4 linked regions of the Caenorhabditis elegans genome follow. The protein of the gene in region 2 interacts with the protein of the main gene of each other region in a pairwise test. Each region holds a gene or a part of one and is shown on either strand. Other genes may lie near its edges.

Region 1 (4,570 bases), about 11 Mb from region 2:
GACTCCGCCCATTTATTGGCTTTGGTGTGATTAATTGAACAAAAACTGAACAGGAACGGATGCAGCAATATTGAATTCGAGAAAAAAATACCACAAAATGGTAGAAAAAAAATGGGAAAAATTATTTCATGTTTTTTCGAGTAGGTTTTTTAAAAGTTATTTTATTTTATCAGTTTTAACAGGCTACCAAATTATAAATAATTATTACATACTGTTACTCAAAATATAATGCTCTATAATAAATTTTTCAAAGTTTGAATTTTTTTAAAAAGAAAATATTATTTTACGCTTTTTTTTCAACTGGAATAGGTATATAGTTCAATTTTCAGGAAATATTGTAAATTAAAAAATAAGCAAATTTAATTTTTTCTCAATTAAATATAATTTTAGTTATTGTATATATATATATGTGAAATTGAAAACTTCAAAGTTGTATTCAAAGAAAAAACTGCAAATTTTAAATTCATAAGAATAAAACGCTGTTATTGAAAACCTAAAAACCAGAAAATTCCAGCCAAGCTCCGAATGACAAAAAAAAGAATCAATAGACAAGACAATCGTACTAGCACTGCACACCCGCCAACCACTTGACCATATGGTCAGTTACTGCGTAAGGATCCGAGAGAGCACACAGAAGGAAGAGGGCGAGCAGAGATATGAAGCGGGAAATGGGGGGAACTAGTCCACGGCCATAGGGTGCCCGGCGATGCTGCTGCTGCTTCGGTTGGGGGAGAGCTGGGAGACGCAGAGTATATATGTAGGCTTAAGAAAATGAAACAGTGAGGGGGTAAGGAACAACCAAGTGCGAGTGTGTGTTTGTGCATGAATGTGCTCCCCCCGTCTTCTCTCACTTGCTCTCTCCCCCCATGTTTCCAAAAAAATAATGGAATAGCTTTAGGAGGTTCTACATTGCAATTGACATTTTTTCATTAAATTTTTTTTGGGATTTGTTCGAGGAATTCTCTAGTACTGAAGATTACTATTTTAGCTCTTTAAGAAATCTACATATTTAAAAATCTGAAATTTCTAAGGTTTTGAGCTGTTGCTGCCGGGATACATCGTTTGAATTAAATCATTTTGCGGATCACTTCCAAATGACAAAAACGAAAAAATTTCCAAAAATACTTCATATCCGGTCAGTACCAGGTCGGAACCAGAAAAGTGATGAAAATTTTCGGAACATTTGAATTGCTTAAATATTGATACACTTTGCACATTTTTTTTCTGTGATAAACGTGAAAATTCGAAATATAGTGCCTTTTTAATTTTTCGCGGATTTGCCAACCTACGAATTTTAGTTTTTCGGTTATTTAGAAATTTATTAAAGTGAAAATATAAAACTATAATTTTTTCAGTTAAAACATTTTCAGACTTTTCAAACGTAAATTACCAGATAACTGCCATGTTTTTTGGAAAAAATAATTTCAAATCAGAAATGTGATGAAAAGTTTTAGAAAATTTAAGTTTTTATTCGGCGAAAAGCTTTTTTTTTTTTAAATTTAAAAAAAAAGCAGTTTCTTTTGAGTTTTCAGGCTGTAAAGTTTAGTTTTTTTCAGAAGCCAAATTATAATTTTGTAGAAAGTTGAAGTTTTAGTTTTCAGACAAAAGTAGAATATTTATTTGGAAAAAAAAGGTTCCACATTTTTTCGAAGTAAATTTTTCAAACCTTTTAGATGTGAAATTTATAGTTTTTTATGCGTAACCTTAGTTTCGAACCTAATTTCAATTACTTAATTTTTTTTTCGAGCCCGCAACTATTTATAACTTTTAGATTTTTTCAAAGTGTAATATATTCCAACTAAAAATACTTCTTTCTTTTTTCACCTAATTTTTTATTATTTGTTCAATTAAATTCCATAAATCTAAACCGGTAACAAATAGTCATGCTTTACATATATCAGAAACAAAGTGAAAAACAAACTATAAAAACTTACATACAAATCATGAACTAGAAAAAAAGGAAATTTATTGAAAAAAGCAAGATGCAGAAGGGGATAGAAATTGACATTTCGAAAAAGAGCAACATTTGGAGGGAAACATGACAAAACATGACAAATCAAAAAAAATATTCGACTTGAAATTAATTCTAACTGCATACTGACACTGTTGATTGGCAATAATTAAATATGAAACTTTAGGTTTTCTAACAACTATTTTTGAGGCAAGTAAAAGTTCTCCAAAAACTAATGTTTGCAGATTTTTAATAATATTCATGTTGTTTACGTGTAAGCTCAAAATGTTCAATTTATAAAATTATATTATCTAATAAAAACGAAAGGCCCTTAGAACACCATGTGGGTGAGATATATATACCATACGCTATCCTTACAGTCTCATTTTTTAGAGACAACAATTGAAATGTGCCTTCAATTTTAATAAATTTCATTGGCTCACAATTGCCGGTTTACTTGGAATATTTTGGAAAAAATTTAGTCAGAGAACAAACGGAGGGAACCTAGCCTAAGCCTGAGCCTAAGCCCAAGCTTAAGCCTAAGCCTAAGCCAAAGCCTTAGCCAAAGCATAAGCCTAAGTCAAGACCTAGGCTTTAGCCTAAGCCTAAACCTACGCTTAAGCCCAAGCCTGAGCTTTAGACTGAGCCTTAGCCTAAGCCTAAGCCTAAGTTTAAGATTATATAACTTTTTTAATTGGAAAAAATTCATTTAAATCATACATAATATGCAAAGTTATAAATAAAACTTTTTGAAGAATTTTTTGAAGGTATTACTTTAAAATTTATTTTTAAATTTATTCAACCTACTCACTATCAGATTGGTAGACAATGTACAACAAAAGGATACCAAAGAAAATCGATATGTAAAACTTTTTTACAAAAACCAGTTGTGCGAACAAAATCCGATAAAATTTCTGAAATTTGAAAGAACTTACCTGAAAATCGCACGCGGCCAGAGCAGCTGCTTTACCTCGTTAGCTAATTTTTTGGCGAAACGACGCCGACTGAAAATTCAAATCAGATGAATAAATTCAATATAATGAACCGAAAGGAAATCTCAGCTAATGAAGAAAATCTCGGTGCCCTGGAAAAGATGATTCATAGGCAGTTAAATGGACGTCTCTGTGAATGAGAGCGTAATTAATTTTCTTATCTTGGGTTTTGTTTAGTCAACCGCAAGATATGCACTTTTAGAGATGTCACGTCATGGCCTTTTTGGGGAGGAGGGGGGGGGGGCACTTGGAACCACTGGATCGGAAGGGGGCCCTTTTTGTAATATTATTTTGTCAGATTCGCTAAAAATCGTCAAAAACTAAGGAAGTAATTCTCAGCTTTTGTTATAGTTTTCATGCTTTATAGGATGTACTTGCATTTTCACCTGTTCTTGTTAATTATAATTAGCGGTCTGACTTCAGAACTCTGTATGTATTCCGGGCTCACCTGCCTAATAGAACACGGTGGTTCAGTTGCTAAATGGGTGCAAACGCGCTCCACCGAACAAACGTGCATAACTTGGCCAGGAAGTACAAAATCGAAAATTCATCACAAATAAAGATAGATAATTTCATTGCGGTCATTTCTTATATGCATCGCAAAATCGATTTTGTGATGGTTTTCGAGATAGTAGCCAATATAGGTTTCCAGACTGAGTATCATGAACCAATCCATCTAGTTTCTGTGCTACCGTGAGAACTATCCGGCACGTTAAGAAAAAAAATTAACTGTACACGAAGTCTTTGAACTATGAGAAGTTCGACCCTAAACGTTTACCTAATTCCTCAGTTTTTCACCATTTTCAAAGTCTGTAACATTGCTCCAAGAATGACTTTTTGCAGATTTTTTATGGTTTTTTTTTTATGTTCAGAAGATGAAAGCGGCTGAAGATTGTGAAAACTTTTTTTTAATTTTCAAAGGCTTTCAGAATGTTAACTATTATCGAAAAAATACGATAAAATTTTGCTTTTTTCTTTTTTCAAAAAGTTCAAATTTTTCTCATAATTTATTTTTGATCTACCTTGTTCACTAGGCTCTTCCTTTCTCTTCGTTAAGACAGCCACAACGAAATAACAACGGCAACAAATTTAGCGGCGGAGTCAAGTTCCAAAGGTAGATCAAATGTTAATTATGAGAAAAATTTGCGAGCGTATTTTTTTCGATGATAATTCTTAGGCACCTTTAAATAAATTCATGAAAAACTTTTGGAACAAGTGGTTTTTTTGCACATATTTAATGTTTTTCAGGATCTTTGAAACAAGGTAAACATTCTGGAAGATTTTGAAGATTTTAAAAGATTTTCCAAAATAAAAATTACTGAAAAAGGCAGGCAGGCACTTCTGTACCTACAAATAAGCCTTCTGCACTGTATTTCAGAAACTTCAAAAAAATATAAAGTTTATAAGCAACTCGAATTTAAATAATCTTGGCACGCTGAATTCAAAATACCAATTTCTAATTTTTAAATTTTTTTTCAGAGCGAGCTTCTGCTGTACTCCAAAAAACTGTTCATATTACAAATTGAAAAAAAATCAAAAATAAAAAATACAAAATAAAAACTATTCAATTGAAGTATTCGGCGGTTGCTCCCACATTTGGGTGACCGAGATGAGTTGAGTGAACACG
Region 2 (5,034 bases):
CGTTCATCGTGTGGTGCAATGATCGAATTCAATGTGTCCAAGCGCATCTGTGAAACCGATGCCGCAATTGATCGGAGTGCTGAAAATTAAACAATATTAGTGATAATTAGACACTGCTCTAAACGAAATATAAATTTTGCTTGCATGTTGATAAACAGTTCCGCTTGCCATTAAACATCAGTTTCTCTAATAAAATTTATGTTCAAAATTTAGAAATGCTTACTCTCTGATTTCCACTTGAAGTATGCTTCAAACTTGTGGTGAACTTGAGATCTCGCCAATTTGCAGTAGTACAGTTCGTTTACGAAGTTGCTATTCTCAGGTTCTGGTTTTTCCGTCTTACTGAGAGACGATGAAGCGGAGCAATGAGAGCTCTCCGATGAGCATGACGACACTGACGATTCTTGTTTTCTTCTTGACATGATTCTCGTCTCACGACGAGCTGGAGATCTACTCTCCACATCGAGATTGTCTTTTTTGATGTGAGACTTGATAATCGTTAGGCCAGAAAATTGGCGGGACAAAGATCGGAGAATGGGGGTCTCGACTAGTTCCTTTGCTTCGTTCTCGTTTTCATAGAACACCTCGTCGTTTTCATTTTTAGCATTCTCCTGCTCGTCAAAATTTTCTTGAACATCTGCCTTTTCTTCTTCTTCTTCATTTTGGCTCTGTTTCAGAAAAGACTCCTTCCTGAACACAGGACCATCGCACACATCTTCTCCTTGCTCTTCTTTTTCGGTCTCATCAACAGTCTCATCGTCAGTTCCGCCACTTTCAAACTTCTGCACCAATCTGCTCACTTTTCGGAGGCTATTTAAAGTTTCATCATGAAAGGCTGACTTCTTTTTATCTTTGTTCGGGGTAAACATGATATCCTCCATCGCTTGCCTATAGATTCCAGCGTTGGAGTAGGAGAAGTCATTGCAACACGACATTGTTGTACTGAAATTTAAAAAAAATTATAGGTATTGTATAACCAGTTGAAAAATTGAGAACGTTAAAAAAATGTGGAACAAAAGAGTAAGATTGAAAAAAAAAAGTCCAAACAGTTGTTTTCGAGACGGAGAATAATTGAGAGTGTAAACAGAAGACCATTCGTTCAAATACAAAATGAAGAAAACGAGGAATTAGATATTTTTACACTTATTTATATCGATCGATATTGCTAACGCGACATTAGACTCTCATCCCACTCCTTTCCCGACTCTTCAACCCATAAATCGTCAGAGGAAAACAACATGTAGCAATGGGAACATTGACACCCTTCCAAGTTTGGCAGATAATCTTTGTTGACTGCAAAACTAATAACTAAAAACTGCAGCTTAACAGTGAAATCAGAAAAAATTGCACCATTTAATTTTGTTCTGTTGTTTCTACAGGCTTCTTCAAAAAAGTGACTGTCCACTATCTTCAGATTTAATTGAAAAAAAGCATAATTCAAATTTGGTTACTATATAACGCAACTTTGCTTCTGAGAAAAAAACAATAAAAAATGCATTAACTTGTAAGATTGAGAACACAAAAAAAAACGATTAGGCAACATTAAGAGCAAGAAAGAGGAGAACAATGGGCGAATAATCCAATATGTGGGAAACGGCATCTGTTGCAACTCATATCGTGACTGAATATCGGCTGACCTTCCCATCTCACCGCACAGTTGCGCTCATTACGCAACGAACGCTTGCACACAAAAAAGTATTCGATTGACTCGCCCAAACTGCGCACATCATTTACAACCACTTGCGTTGCGTGCACCGATACTGTCTGTCAACCACAATTTGTCTTTATTCTTGACAACGTTACGTTTTTACCCCACCTCTCGCTAATGTGTCCGTCTCATCAACATTTTATCTCCAATACGTTTCCTGTCATTTATCATTAATTCTGGTTTATTGTAGACATGAGTGAGGCGTCAAAATCGATTATGGATCTGCTGTCAGAAGTTGTCAAAATTACCGACATGACTATGGATAATGAAGCTGTCAATAAATTGTGAGTTAGATTTTTGCTTATGTGCTGCCATAAATCGAAGTTTTCAAAAAAAAAAATCAACAATCGTTATGTGATGGTTTGCGCTTGTTTTTTCTGATATTCCTATAATAAAAATTCTCAATATTGTTTCATGGGCGTGTTGATGATATAAGTATTCAAATCAAAATTATTAATAAGTTTCAAAATTTTGGTCAATGTTTATAGATGTTGATAACAAATGTTCATTCATACTTAAAATACTTTGATTAGTTTACGACTCAAGAAAAAATAATGACAAGATATGCTTTTAAGCAAAGTTTCGTAAAACATCAAATGTTTAATTTTTTTGATCAGCTTTTGTAGGCAATAGCCTGTCTCTAATTTCTTTATTTGAACAGTACCGCTCCTTAAAACATTGCTCTAGTTCAACTATCATCACAAACTTCTTGAAAACTATTTTTTGGAAAAACTTTCTTAAGCAAACTCTCCGCTGGAGTGCTTATGTTTTTCTTTCAACTTCAGTATTTATCATAATATTGTTTTGGTAACTATACATTTATGGAGAAGTTGCGATAAGATGAAAACCAACACTAGAGATTACTATCAAGATACAAAAAAGAAAAGAGGATATTCACTTCCTCCTGAAAATAAAAAATAAAAAATTGTCAAAAGTATTTATGAATTTTTCAGAAAACCACAAATCAAGATCAATCCATTCTACCGAGCCGTACAAGATGTTCTAGTTGAGCAGAAGTCCAAAATCGACCTATCGACAAAGATGATGAAGGATCTTGAAGCACAAGAGAATGATGAACGGCTGGATACCATGCTCAAAGCAGAAGGAGTTGCTGGACCCGATGATAGTTTGTTGCGTATTCAGGAAGCTGCTGGAACTGACCAATACGAGTATCGTCAACAACTTTTGAAAGTGAGACGAGAGCTTGAAAATGAGACAAAAGCGTTTGACAAGGTAAGATCGTCTCATATATCACCAACCAATATACAAATTTCAGCACTGCAAAAAGTGGTGTGAGTACGTTGAAGATGTTCTCCAGCAACAAGGAGAATTCCGTCCAATCACCCAACAGGTAAGCCATAAATCTACCGGTGAAAAGATTAAACCAATTTTTCAGTCAACCGAAAAGTTTATGAACAAGATGTCCGGTAAATTTAACAAGGTCTGTTTTGTACTAAAACAGACTGCCTGCGAAGAAGTTATCCAACTGAAAAAGCGTTATCTGGATGCTCGTCGAAAGAGAAGAAATTTCTCGAAAACTTCCACCGAGATTCTCAACGAGTACTTCCTAGCAAACATCAATCATCCATACCCGTCGGAAGAGGTCAAACAGGCCTTAGCTATGCAATGTAACATTAGTGTTGCTCAGGTAAAATTGAAAATACAAAATTACATACTAAAAAATATGCATAAAAAACTTTTGAAGAATATTACGATTTGCATGAAGATAATATTGATAAGGCCTAAATTAAAAGCTCGCTAAAATGCGCCATCATCACCATTTGCGTCAGCTGTCTCCTATTAATATTTGCGCGGGAGTTTTGAATAGGAAATGTTGAAACGGTGTTCAGAATTAACGAATGCTTTAGTAGTTTCTAGAAAATGGGAAGTAAGGTTTTCTAAAAGAAACGCAAAACTAGTTCATTATTCTTTGGAATATAATTGTGGTTACATAAAATAATCGCTGTTCTATAGACACGAACCTAAAAATTATGCAACTTTTTTAAAAACTATTTTTGTCACTGTCAATATTGTCAGTGTTTCTTAACACTCTATCACTCTATTTGAAAAAATTTAGTCCCAGATATCTGCATACAATCTTACAGTAGTTTACAGTTTATTTTCAGGTATCAAACTGGTTTGGAAATAAGCGAATTCGCTACAAGAAAACAATGGCTAAGAATGAGGATGAAAGAAGAGAAAACAGAAAACCAGAAGATCGCCCTCCGCCTGGAGCTCCTGGAGCTCCGTATAGTCTGGTACCCAACGCGTTTGCAGGAATGATGAACCCATATCAGATGATGTTACCTGGTCATCAATTTCCCATCGGTGTTGCCCCTTTCAATTTTTCCATGTACAATCCTGAGATGGTAAGTTTTCATTTCAAATACTGTGAACTTGCAAAAATAGAGCAATATATGTAGTTTGTTTCAAAACCCGGATTTTTGTTAAACTTGAAAAAAAACTCGTTCTTGGATACATCAAATTCTGGAAACGATGTACTCCAAGTTGCGAGCAGCTGGAAAAGTTGAGAAACTAGGTTTTTTCTTACTGCCAGATTTTGAAATCATGCATATTCCGAAAAAAACAGTTTTCTCATTTTCAGATGGCCCAATATCAACAGTCTCTACAAAACCCAAATCAAACTCGATGACAAACTTTAATAATGCTGGTACTGAGTACTCATTCATACATTTGCCATGATGTTATAAAGTAATAAATTCATTGAAATACATCCTGTGTTCCATAAGATGTATTACTTTTTTAAGAAATTTATTTGATACTGACCAATGTTTTTGGCTGCAAAATGCAACATCACAATTTTTAGACAAGGGCTTACAATATAAATGAGGTAACAAGAACAACATAACTATTCACAGAACAGGAGATTTTCCTGAAGCGTTTTTAAAAATGTTGAGAAAGTGGTGATATTGAAAAAAAAGTTGAAATTAATTAAGTTTTTAAGAACTCAGGCCAGTTATATCCATAACAAGTAGTAGTATGAAATTTTGGTGGAACTGCGAAAATAACATGCTGAAATTGGAAACTAATGTAAAATTATATTATCTAGCGGTTAGAAACAAAATGGTGAAATGAAAATCTATGACAACCATGAAGTGGAGAGGTATTGAAAATGATCCGAAGTATAGGGAATTGATTTGGTCTGATATGATCCTATTTAAACATTTCCACATTTTGCTGAATACTTTGATATTTTGATTACTGCCTACGTGGTCCATTGGGCACAAGAACTCCGGGAGGAACATCAACTGTTCGCTCGGTCCAAAAACGATCTTCGGAATATTCGATCATCGCGTAACTGAACG
Region 3 (4,155 bases), on a different chromosome or scaffold from region 2:
ACATATTTGACCGCAAAATATCTCGTAGCGAAAACTACAGTAATTCTTCAAAAGACTACTGTAGCGCTTGTGTCGATTTACGAGCTCGATTTTTGAAATGAATCAGACTAGAAGAAAAGGAGGAAAATATTGAACATCAATTGAACATCAATTCAAAAAGTCGAACCCTTGACTACAGTAGTCTTCTAAAGAATTACTGTAGTTTTCGCTACGAGATATTTTGCGCGTCAAATATGTTGCGCAATACGCATCCTCAGAATTGTGTGTTCTCGTAATGTCTTGAAAATTTTCCATTTCAACATCAAATAAGCAAATCTAAAAATGTGGGTTCTGCAGCGACCACTATGACTGTGATCGTGGCAAGACCCACTCAGAAAACTACGTGTTCCTTTAAACAATACATTTTTAAGTATTGTAGGTATAAAAATTGTTGGCTAGCAGTCTAGGCTGCCTTTTTCAGTCGACAAACTTCTAATTTAATCGGCGGGTCTTCAAAAAGTCGTTTCTTTGAAAATATAAAGCTTTATATATTTATATATTAAAAATTTTGATTACATGATATCAAAAGCGACCAGTTTGCATAAAAATTATCAACCAACAATATCAATATCTTCTTCTACCTCCTGATCCTCCTCCTTCACAATGCTCAGCTCACTGCTCGAGCTGGAAGGAGTCGACGGGAGAGGCGAGAGAAATGGAAAAGCGAATGGAAATTGGACTGGAAGATTTTCAGATAACATATGGGGAAAATAAAAAAGAAATGGGTTGATTGGAGGCATCGACTGAAGAGGTGCGACCTCCGGTGGTGATCTGGATTTTGGCGATGGGGACTGTGAGTTGCTGCCGTCGGAATATGATGGTGATCTTCTCTTGCGACTCAAGTTCCCGTCACGGAAACCTTTGGCAAAACTGTTGTGCTTGATTTTCAAGTCGGTGATTTTTTGGTTCTGAAATGAGGAAAAATTAGGTTTATTATTCAACTCTCTCTATCTTTGAAAACAAAGAATCTATTAAGAAATTGTTAAACACCATATTATGGATCACAAAGCGAGCAATATTTTTGTAGTTGACAACTTTTATATAGCTCTTTTTATTGGCGAGGTAGGAGTGCTTAAAGTAGCGCAGTTTCAAATTTATAAATAGAGCCAAATTTTGAGCAAGTGTAACTCTCCTTCTTTTAACTCTATTAAAAACTTGTCAACTAACTAATTAATCTTTACAACTAGGGTTACAAATTATTAGTTAACGACTTCTTGATAAGTATGATGGTTGACAAGACTTCCCCCTTCCTTCCCAGATTTCCCATTGTTCACAAAATATTGATTCTTCCGAGATAAGATCCATGCGCTAATACTCTTACTCTCAATACTAACCTGGTAAGCCGTTACTGCAATAAACTCGGTATGAGGGAATTTGGCGGTGGCGACGATTTGGTTTGAGGATTGTGGGACGCAGAAAGGGCTCTCCGATGGAGACTCGTAGATTGTCAGCACTGGAATGTACTTGTGCATGCTGTTGAGGTAAATCTGAAATTTCAATTTTAAATTGGAAATTGCCAAGTAATTTTAAAGTTGAAATCCTACCATTGAAGCGTTGTTGGACTCTGAATAGTTGGAGATTTTCACACGATCAAAGCAAATCGAACTCCACATCCAGTCACTGAAATTAATTGGGGTTACTTTGAAGATATAAATTTAGCAAATTTAGAATTATTTTCATCTGAATTATGTTGTCAGTTGACAAACGACAAACTTTGAAAACTTTAATGTTAGATGAGATGTAACCCTCAAAATATTCCAAAGGCATTTGAATGCCAGTGTCGGCAGCTCTAACTCTTCAATGGCTCAAGCTAGAAAAAAGTTGTCAACTGGCAAATTGTAGATGATAAATCAGTTAACAATTTTCCAGTTAACATCTTTTTTAAAACTTCCAAGCCCGCTGAGATATGGCGCTTTGAAGTTGTAATACCAGGGCGGAGCTAAAAAAAGTTGCCAATTGACAAAATGGTTCTCACTATTTTGATAATCATGTCAGTTTACAAATCTTCATAGCTTCTAATCTTCCAATTCCTATGTCACACTCACCTTCCCTTCCGAACTCCATCAGCATGCCACATCTTCTTCGCGTCGACCTGCTTCTCAGCTTTGCCCGTTTCCTGCCACTTTCCACCGCTGAACTTGAATCGACTTTCTCCAACTGGTTGTAATTGGAGCATTATTGCATACAGCTTGTTTTCATCAAGCCCTTCGACTATATATTCCAACTTTGGGAACAACTTTCGGCCGTTCTTCGTGACAATCATCTCGTTGACTTCTGCGTGGAATATCTTCCAGAGAGTTTCTTGGGATCCTTCGATTGATACTTTGACTTTGGACATTTTTTGTCTGAAAACGTTAAAATATATTATGAAAACGAACAGCAAAAAAAAAGTTGGAAAATGGTATAAGATATAATGTTATATTCTCACCGGTTTGGCAGCTACACTTGCTTAGAGTGTGGTACCAGTGAGAAGGAGGAGCGGGAAAACTATTCTAACTTAAAAACGGTGGTATCTAGCAAAAAGTTGTTAACTAACAAAGCAACAATGATAAAATTTGCAATATTTTGTTAGTTGACAACTATTTGGTATCTCTTGCCAGTTTTGAGATAACGTCTGAGATATCCCCGCCGTTCAAAAATAAGAAAACAAAAAAATAGAAAAATAAGAAACACGATAAGATAGAGATGTCATCACAAAAAAATGGTGATTTAAGACAAAGAAGTGAGAAATTGTGCACATCTTCACCCCATCTCACCTCATTGCCAAACCACACCCCTCTGCAAGGGCGGGCAGGTTGTGCGCGTGGCCCTCTCGGCTATCGATTCTGGGAAGACTTGGCGGCTGACTGGTAGATCAAAAGAGTTGGGTATACTTTCAAAACAAAATTGGGAGATCAAATTCTGATGTGGCATAGAAATAGAGAAGACGGTCCGAAAATGTTGGTTTTATGTAAACTTCAAAAAATGTTCAAAATTTAAAGATGATACAACTTCCTTATTAATTAAAGAATTATGCTATGTATACCATGCTTATCGACAGTATGGATTTTGTATATTTTTACTTTGAGATCACTTTTCTCAAGAAAGAATGACAGTAAAAATTAATGTAAACTGAATTTTTTTGTACCATATAAAAACCGAAATTTGAAAAAAATAACTTTATTTAATGTTTCAAAATAAAGATTTTACCATTTTACATTTTCATACCTTCCACAATTACCCATTATTCCATCTTCAAACCCTCCTTCTATTTCCAGATAATATACCATTTCCAAGTATACCCCTTTTTTGTCGGTTACCTCCAAAAGAGCATACGTTGTAAAATTTTTGAGCCGGTTAGTTGTAGTGGGCTCTTTTGATAGAACACCGACAGTATTGACTGGAGGTGTAAAAATTGGTAGCTGAAGGAAAATGGATAAAAGAAAACATTGGTTAACGGATCAAAATTATTTTGCATTTTTAGACATAAAGTGATATTAAAAATTCGAATTTCATAACGAATGTTCTAAAACATTGCTCAAAAATATTAGGAAAAACTCTCCAAATTTTGCAGATCCATTAAAATTTCTGAGCAATTTTTGAGCAAACCTTTTAAGTCTATAAGTCAGGATAATTTTGATATATTCGTCTTCCCAAAAGCTATCAAAAAGATGTCAACTTTCAAAAAAAAACTCAATTTTTTTCCGGGGTCTAACTTTTTTGTGGATGCAGCTATCAAAAATTTGTCAACTAACTGATTGTTCATAATTTCCAGAGCTATATTTTGTCAGTTGGCAACTATTCGGTAAACTCGAAGCTTTTCGAGATAATCGTTTCCCAAATTGTTATCTGAACCCAAATTTCTCCGACCCCATTAGCCCCATTTTCCTAGAAAATAAGACTGATCTCCAAAACACCAAAAAAAAAGCTGTAAAACTTTACTCTTCCCAAAACTCTCCGAGTCGGTGTTTTTACGGGGGGTACCTCTAAATCAGGTGGTCGATAAACATCGTGGCGGATTTATAACCTCCACAATTGTTAGTTGGCGTCAATGGATATACAGGTGATAAGGTTTACAATCACTGATTAGTTGTTCTGAATTTTTTTTTCCCAGGAACACAAAAATTGAGGTTTCCT
Region 4 (3,413 bases), on a different chromosome or scaffold from region 2:
TGTTCCAAGTGTTTATTTTTAATAGTTGTGCTGACATTTTTTGAATTTTCTTTCACAGTTTCTTTATTTTTCAGGGTTCGTAAACCAAGTTGCCGGTTGCCGAACTTTTTTCGGCACTTTGGCAACTGTCCATATCAACGTCAAACATTTTGTAACTCAAAAAAAAACATGCAGAGAGCCTGAAAAAGCTAGAATTTCACTGTAAACGAAAAAAACGACCATACATTTTTCCAAAACGCTCAAAAATTTAATTTCGACAAAAAAAACTTTGAAACCTGGTTGCCGAAAAGTTTCCGAAGTTCCGGCAACCGGAAGTTGCTGGCTGCCGAAGTTTTCAGCGTTCGGCAACTTTGGCAATTGCCGGTTGCCGAAATTTCTTTAAATCTCGGTTGCCGCACAGTCCTGGTAAGAACGCAATTCAGTTCTATAATTTTTCTCCAATTGCTACGCATCTGTTCAAATTATCATGCACACTGTGCTGAAAATCTCAATATTGCTGTGTGTTAAACTTGAATTTATTATCTTGATGTTACTTTTTTAAATTTATTAATTTTCAATGAATCGGGATGCAAAAGATGTCTAAATAATGTTGAAAACTGTTGAAAAAAATTGGAGACCAATACGATTTTCAGCTGAATCTCTTCAGCCAACAATATCGATATCTTTCTCATTTTCTTCTATTTCCAGAGCGTCAATTTCGAAGCTGGAACTTGGGACAATAGGAATCTGAACTGTAGGCATGTGAGGAGGATAAAGTGAAAATTGATTGTATGAATTGAAAACTAATGGCGAATAAACTGGGAATACTGGGAGAAAAGGAAGTATTGGAAATGGTAGGCAAGGTACTGTACATGTGATCGACTTTCCACGAATCACTTCAAAGATGATTTCTAGAACCTTCAAATTCTCCATTTTGTCTCTGAAAAATACGTGTTTTTTAATTTATGGCCAATAAAATCTAAAACCTACATTTCTTCTGAGCTACTCAAATTATTCAATGCAATAAATTTTCTGAGCTCTCTGTACGCGGCAACTCTCTTATTTCGGCGAACTTGTTCCCGATCGCTTTTAATCTTTTTAATACTTCTAATTGGTCCAGGCGATGTTGAAAACGATTCGTGATGAAGTTGAATACCAGATAACAATTTCACAATACGAAATAGAACCTCTTCTTTTCTGAATAGACATTAGTTGAGAGTACGTTTTTTTTTTTTAAATAAAATAGTAGAAAACTTACGAAAGTTTTTCAGATTCCGATTTTTGAACGATTTTCTTGAATTCATTCAACAGATCATTAGTATCATCTCTTCTTTGTTTTTCTGTTTCAGATCGATGTCCATGTGAAGAAGGGGACCCAGATGATGACGAAGTTGGAGAGGAAGACATTATGAGTCAAGGATCTGAAATATAATAATAATAGTTAACAAAAGATTATTAGACAAAAACCGTAATAGGGAGACTACAAAATATGAAAGGCAGTTCAAATTAAAGACTTATGAAAACGTTGAAAAGAACCAACCTTACAGTTCAAGTATGCAAAAACATAATGACTACCTTCCATTATATGTTCGAGTTTTTTCTTCAATAGGCGGGGATTCTCATCGTTTGGAATATCATGGGAATCTGATATCCATACCTTTATTACGCGTGGTTCTCATGGTGCATCGAGTACCACATCTCCAGTTCTTGCCGTGGCAGCCTGAGAACCCAAGCAATGCGAAGGGTCACAACCTGAACGAAGTTATTGATTGGTGGGAAAAAATAATCCTGAAATGAATATTTGGTAAAATCGGAGCTCGATGGAATTTAAAAATGTAAATATATAATACAAAAGAAGAATTTAGAATATTTAAAATAAAAATGCATATTAATTAACTCAAATAATCAAATACATGAATTAGGTTATAGTATTTTTCCTTTACATGATAGTTTAAAATATTTATATCAAGCTGTTCTAGAAATGTTTTAAAAAACAATATCCAAGTTTAAAAAAATCTCAATTTATTTTTAATTTACGAGGTTTCCATCTCAGCGTGTGACACTTTTCTTATAACTTGGCACCTACATGTATCCGGTGTGAATTTTTTCTGTTGCTGTGTGAGCATTTCCAGCAAACCGGAGTTCTCAAAATCAGTAAGGTTATATGTTAAAATTAAACTGGCTTATTATTTTCAGAAAATGAAAAACTGCCATATTTGAGTGATAAACTGAATGAATCCGTAAAATTTGGTAGTTGTATGTTCTATGCATTATCATATACATCAATCTGGTAATTTTTATTAGAATCAGATCTTGAATATTGGAAACTTTGCGAATTAAAGACAAATAATGATTAGGCAAGCTGATTAAATGAGTGATAAAAATGGTTAATGTCAATTCACAGTCTCCGCCGAAATTTCCCAGGCTGTACCCAATCAATATCCAGTCGTGGCAAAACTGGAGATGTCCTGACTCGTTCTCATGAGAACCTCACTGATGAACCATGGGAACCCGTGATGGGGACTGTAAAAATAGAGATTTCAGAATAATTCCCATGGCTCCAAACGCTTGATACAAAGCTCCACCCTCTGAACAATAATGGAACTATAAAAGGTAACCATTTATTCATTGTTCATTTACTTTCTTAGTGGATCACTGGTCTGCTGGTTTAGTATACTTTTTGATAATTGTAACATCAGGAAAGTGTACTGATTTTGATCAATTACTTTTAAAGCATTCAGTGAACTGTATACTTCTAGAAAAACAGTACGAGTTATCTCACTAAACTAAATCAATTTGTGCTGCTTTCTTGGTCCCATTTATCTGTTTTGTCACAATTATTCCTTTTTAACGGCTCATCTTGAATTTTTATAAATTCTACATTTCTTATTGATTTTAAATTAATGAAAATTATTAAATTTCAGATGCCAAAAGTTATTCAGTCTTCAATGAGCGATTATCGTTCCGTCCCATACAATCAAACTCCAAAATCAGCTTCTGAACGGAAAAGAAGAAATATTACAAACGAGTTGATTAACGAATGCAAGACGATTGTTCAAAAATCAGAAGAAGAACATATATCGTAAGTTTAAATACTCTGTTAGCTTAAAATAGTTATTAAACTAATTCATTTTTTAGACAAGAAGTAGTTCTCTTCCGAATTGTGAAACTTGTGACTGGAGTTAATCTGGAATCTAATTTCTCATCGAATGACCTCTCCGAATCTACAAGACGGAAGTTTGATACTGAATCCGAAAGAAGAAAAGTGAAGACTGAACGTGAAAAGATTCGAAGAAAGAAACAAGATGACTGTTATGCTGAATTGAAATTCTTCATTTTGAACAAACAAATGGGAAGTTACGAGCAACGGTAAGAGTTTCATTATGGCTAATAAAAATTCAAAAAATTATTTTCAGATTAAAACTTGAACGGAT

What was found.
Region 1: the proteins of ceh-40 (region 2) and inso-1 interact in a two-hybrid assay, tested with the Caenorhabditis elegans proteins (one large-scale study listed by BioGRID).
Region 3: the proteins of ceh-40 (region 2) and tbx-9 interact in a two-hybrid assay, tested with the Caenorhabditis elegans proteins (one large-scale study listed by BioGRID).
Region 4: the proteins of ceh-40 (region 2) and hlh-26 interact in a two-hybrid assay, tested with the Caenorhabditis elegans proteins (one large-scale study listed by BioGRID).

The regions. Positions count from the first base shown.
Region 1 is NC_003284.9:1,298,592-1,303,161, reverse strand, and holds the start of inso-1 (BTB domain-containing protein), read right to left. Parts: upstream 3,014-4,570; 5' UTR 2,887-3,013; intron 1-2,886. Other genes in the region: dop-4 (Dopamine receptor 4), read right to left, coding at 4,504-4,570.
Region 2 is NC_003284.9:12,317,567-12,322,600, reverse strand, and holds ceh-40 (Homeobox protein ceh-40), read left to right. Parts: upstream 1-1,823; 5' UTR 1,824-1,900; coding exon 1,901-1,992; intron 1,993-2,661; coding exon 2,662-2,941; intron 2,942-2,984; coding exon 2,985-3,059; intron 3,060-3,104; coding exon 3,105-3,356; intron 3,357-3,834; coding exon 3,835-4,077; intron 4,078-4,313; coding exon 4,314-4,361; 3' UTR 4,362-4,475; downstream 4,476-5,034. Other genes in the region: F17A2.13 (uncharacterized protein), read right to left, coding at 1-79, 224-935; xtr-2 (MX region of TRA-2 Related), read right to left, coding at 4,928-5,034. UniProt on the Caenorhabditis elegans protein: Plays a role in regulating gene expression in dopaminergic neurons, acting redundantly with homeobox protein ceh-20 in head neurons.
Region 3 is NC_003281.10:10,339,475-10,343,629, forward strand, and holds tbx-9 (T-box transcription factor tbx-9), read right to left. Parts: upstream 2,385-4,155; 5' UTR 2,378-2,384; coding exon 2,085-2,377; intron 1,660-2,084; coding exon 1,584-1,659; intron 1,527-1,583; coding exon 1,374-1,526; intron 948-1,373; coding exon 591-947; 3' UTR 532-590; downstream 1-531. UniProt on the Caenorhabditis elegans protein: Transcription factor. Involved in the control of early morphogenesis of the intestine, hypodermis and body-wall muscle. Involved in regulating expression of vab-7. Appears to have partially redundant function to tbx-8.
Region 4 is NC_003280.10:5,532,337-5,535,749, forward strand, and holds hlh-26 (Helix-loop-helix protein 26), read right to left. Parts: upstream 1,407-3,413; 5' UTR 1,387-1,406; coding exon 1,238-1,386; intron 1,177-1,237; coding exon 970-1,176; intron 920-969; coding exon 643-919; 3' UTR 503-642; downstream 1-502. Other genes in the region: hlh-25 (Helix-loop-helix protein 25), read left to right, coding at 2,904-3,061, 3,118-3,348, 3,396-3,413. UniProt on the Caenorhabditis elegans protein: As a homodimer binds DNA via the E-box sequence 5'-CACGTG-3'. Represses lag-2 transcription during embryogenesis via Notch signaling, in an unc-37-dependent manner. Also represses tbx-37 independent of Notch signaling.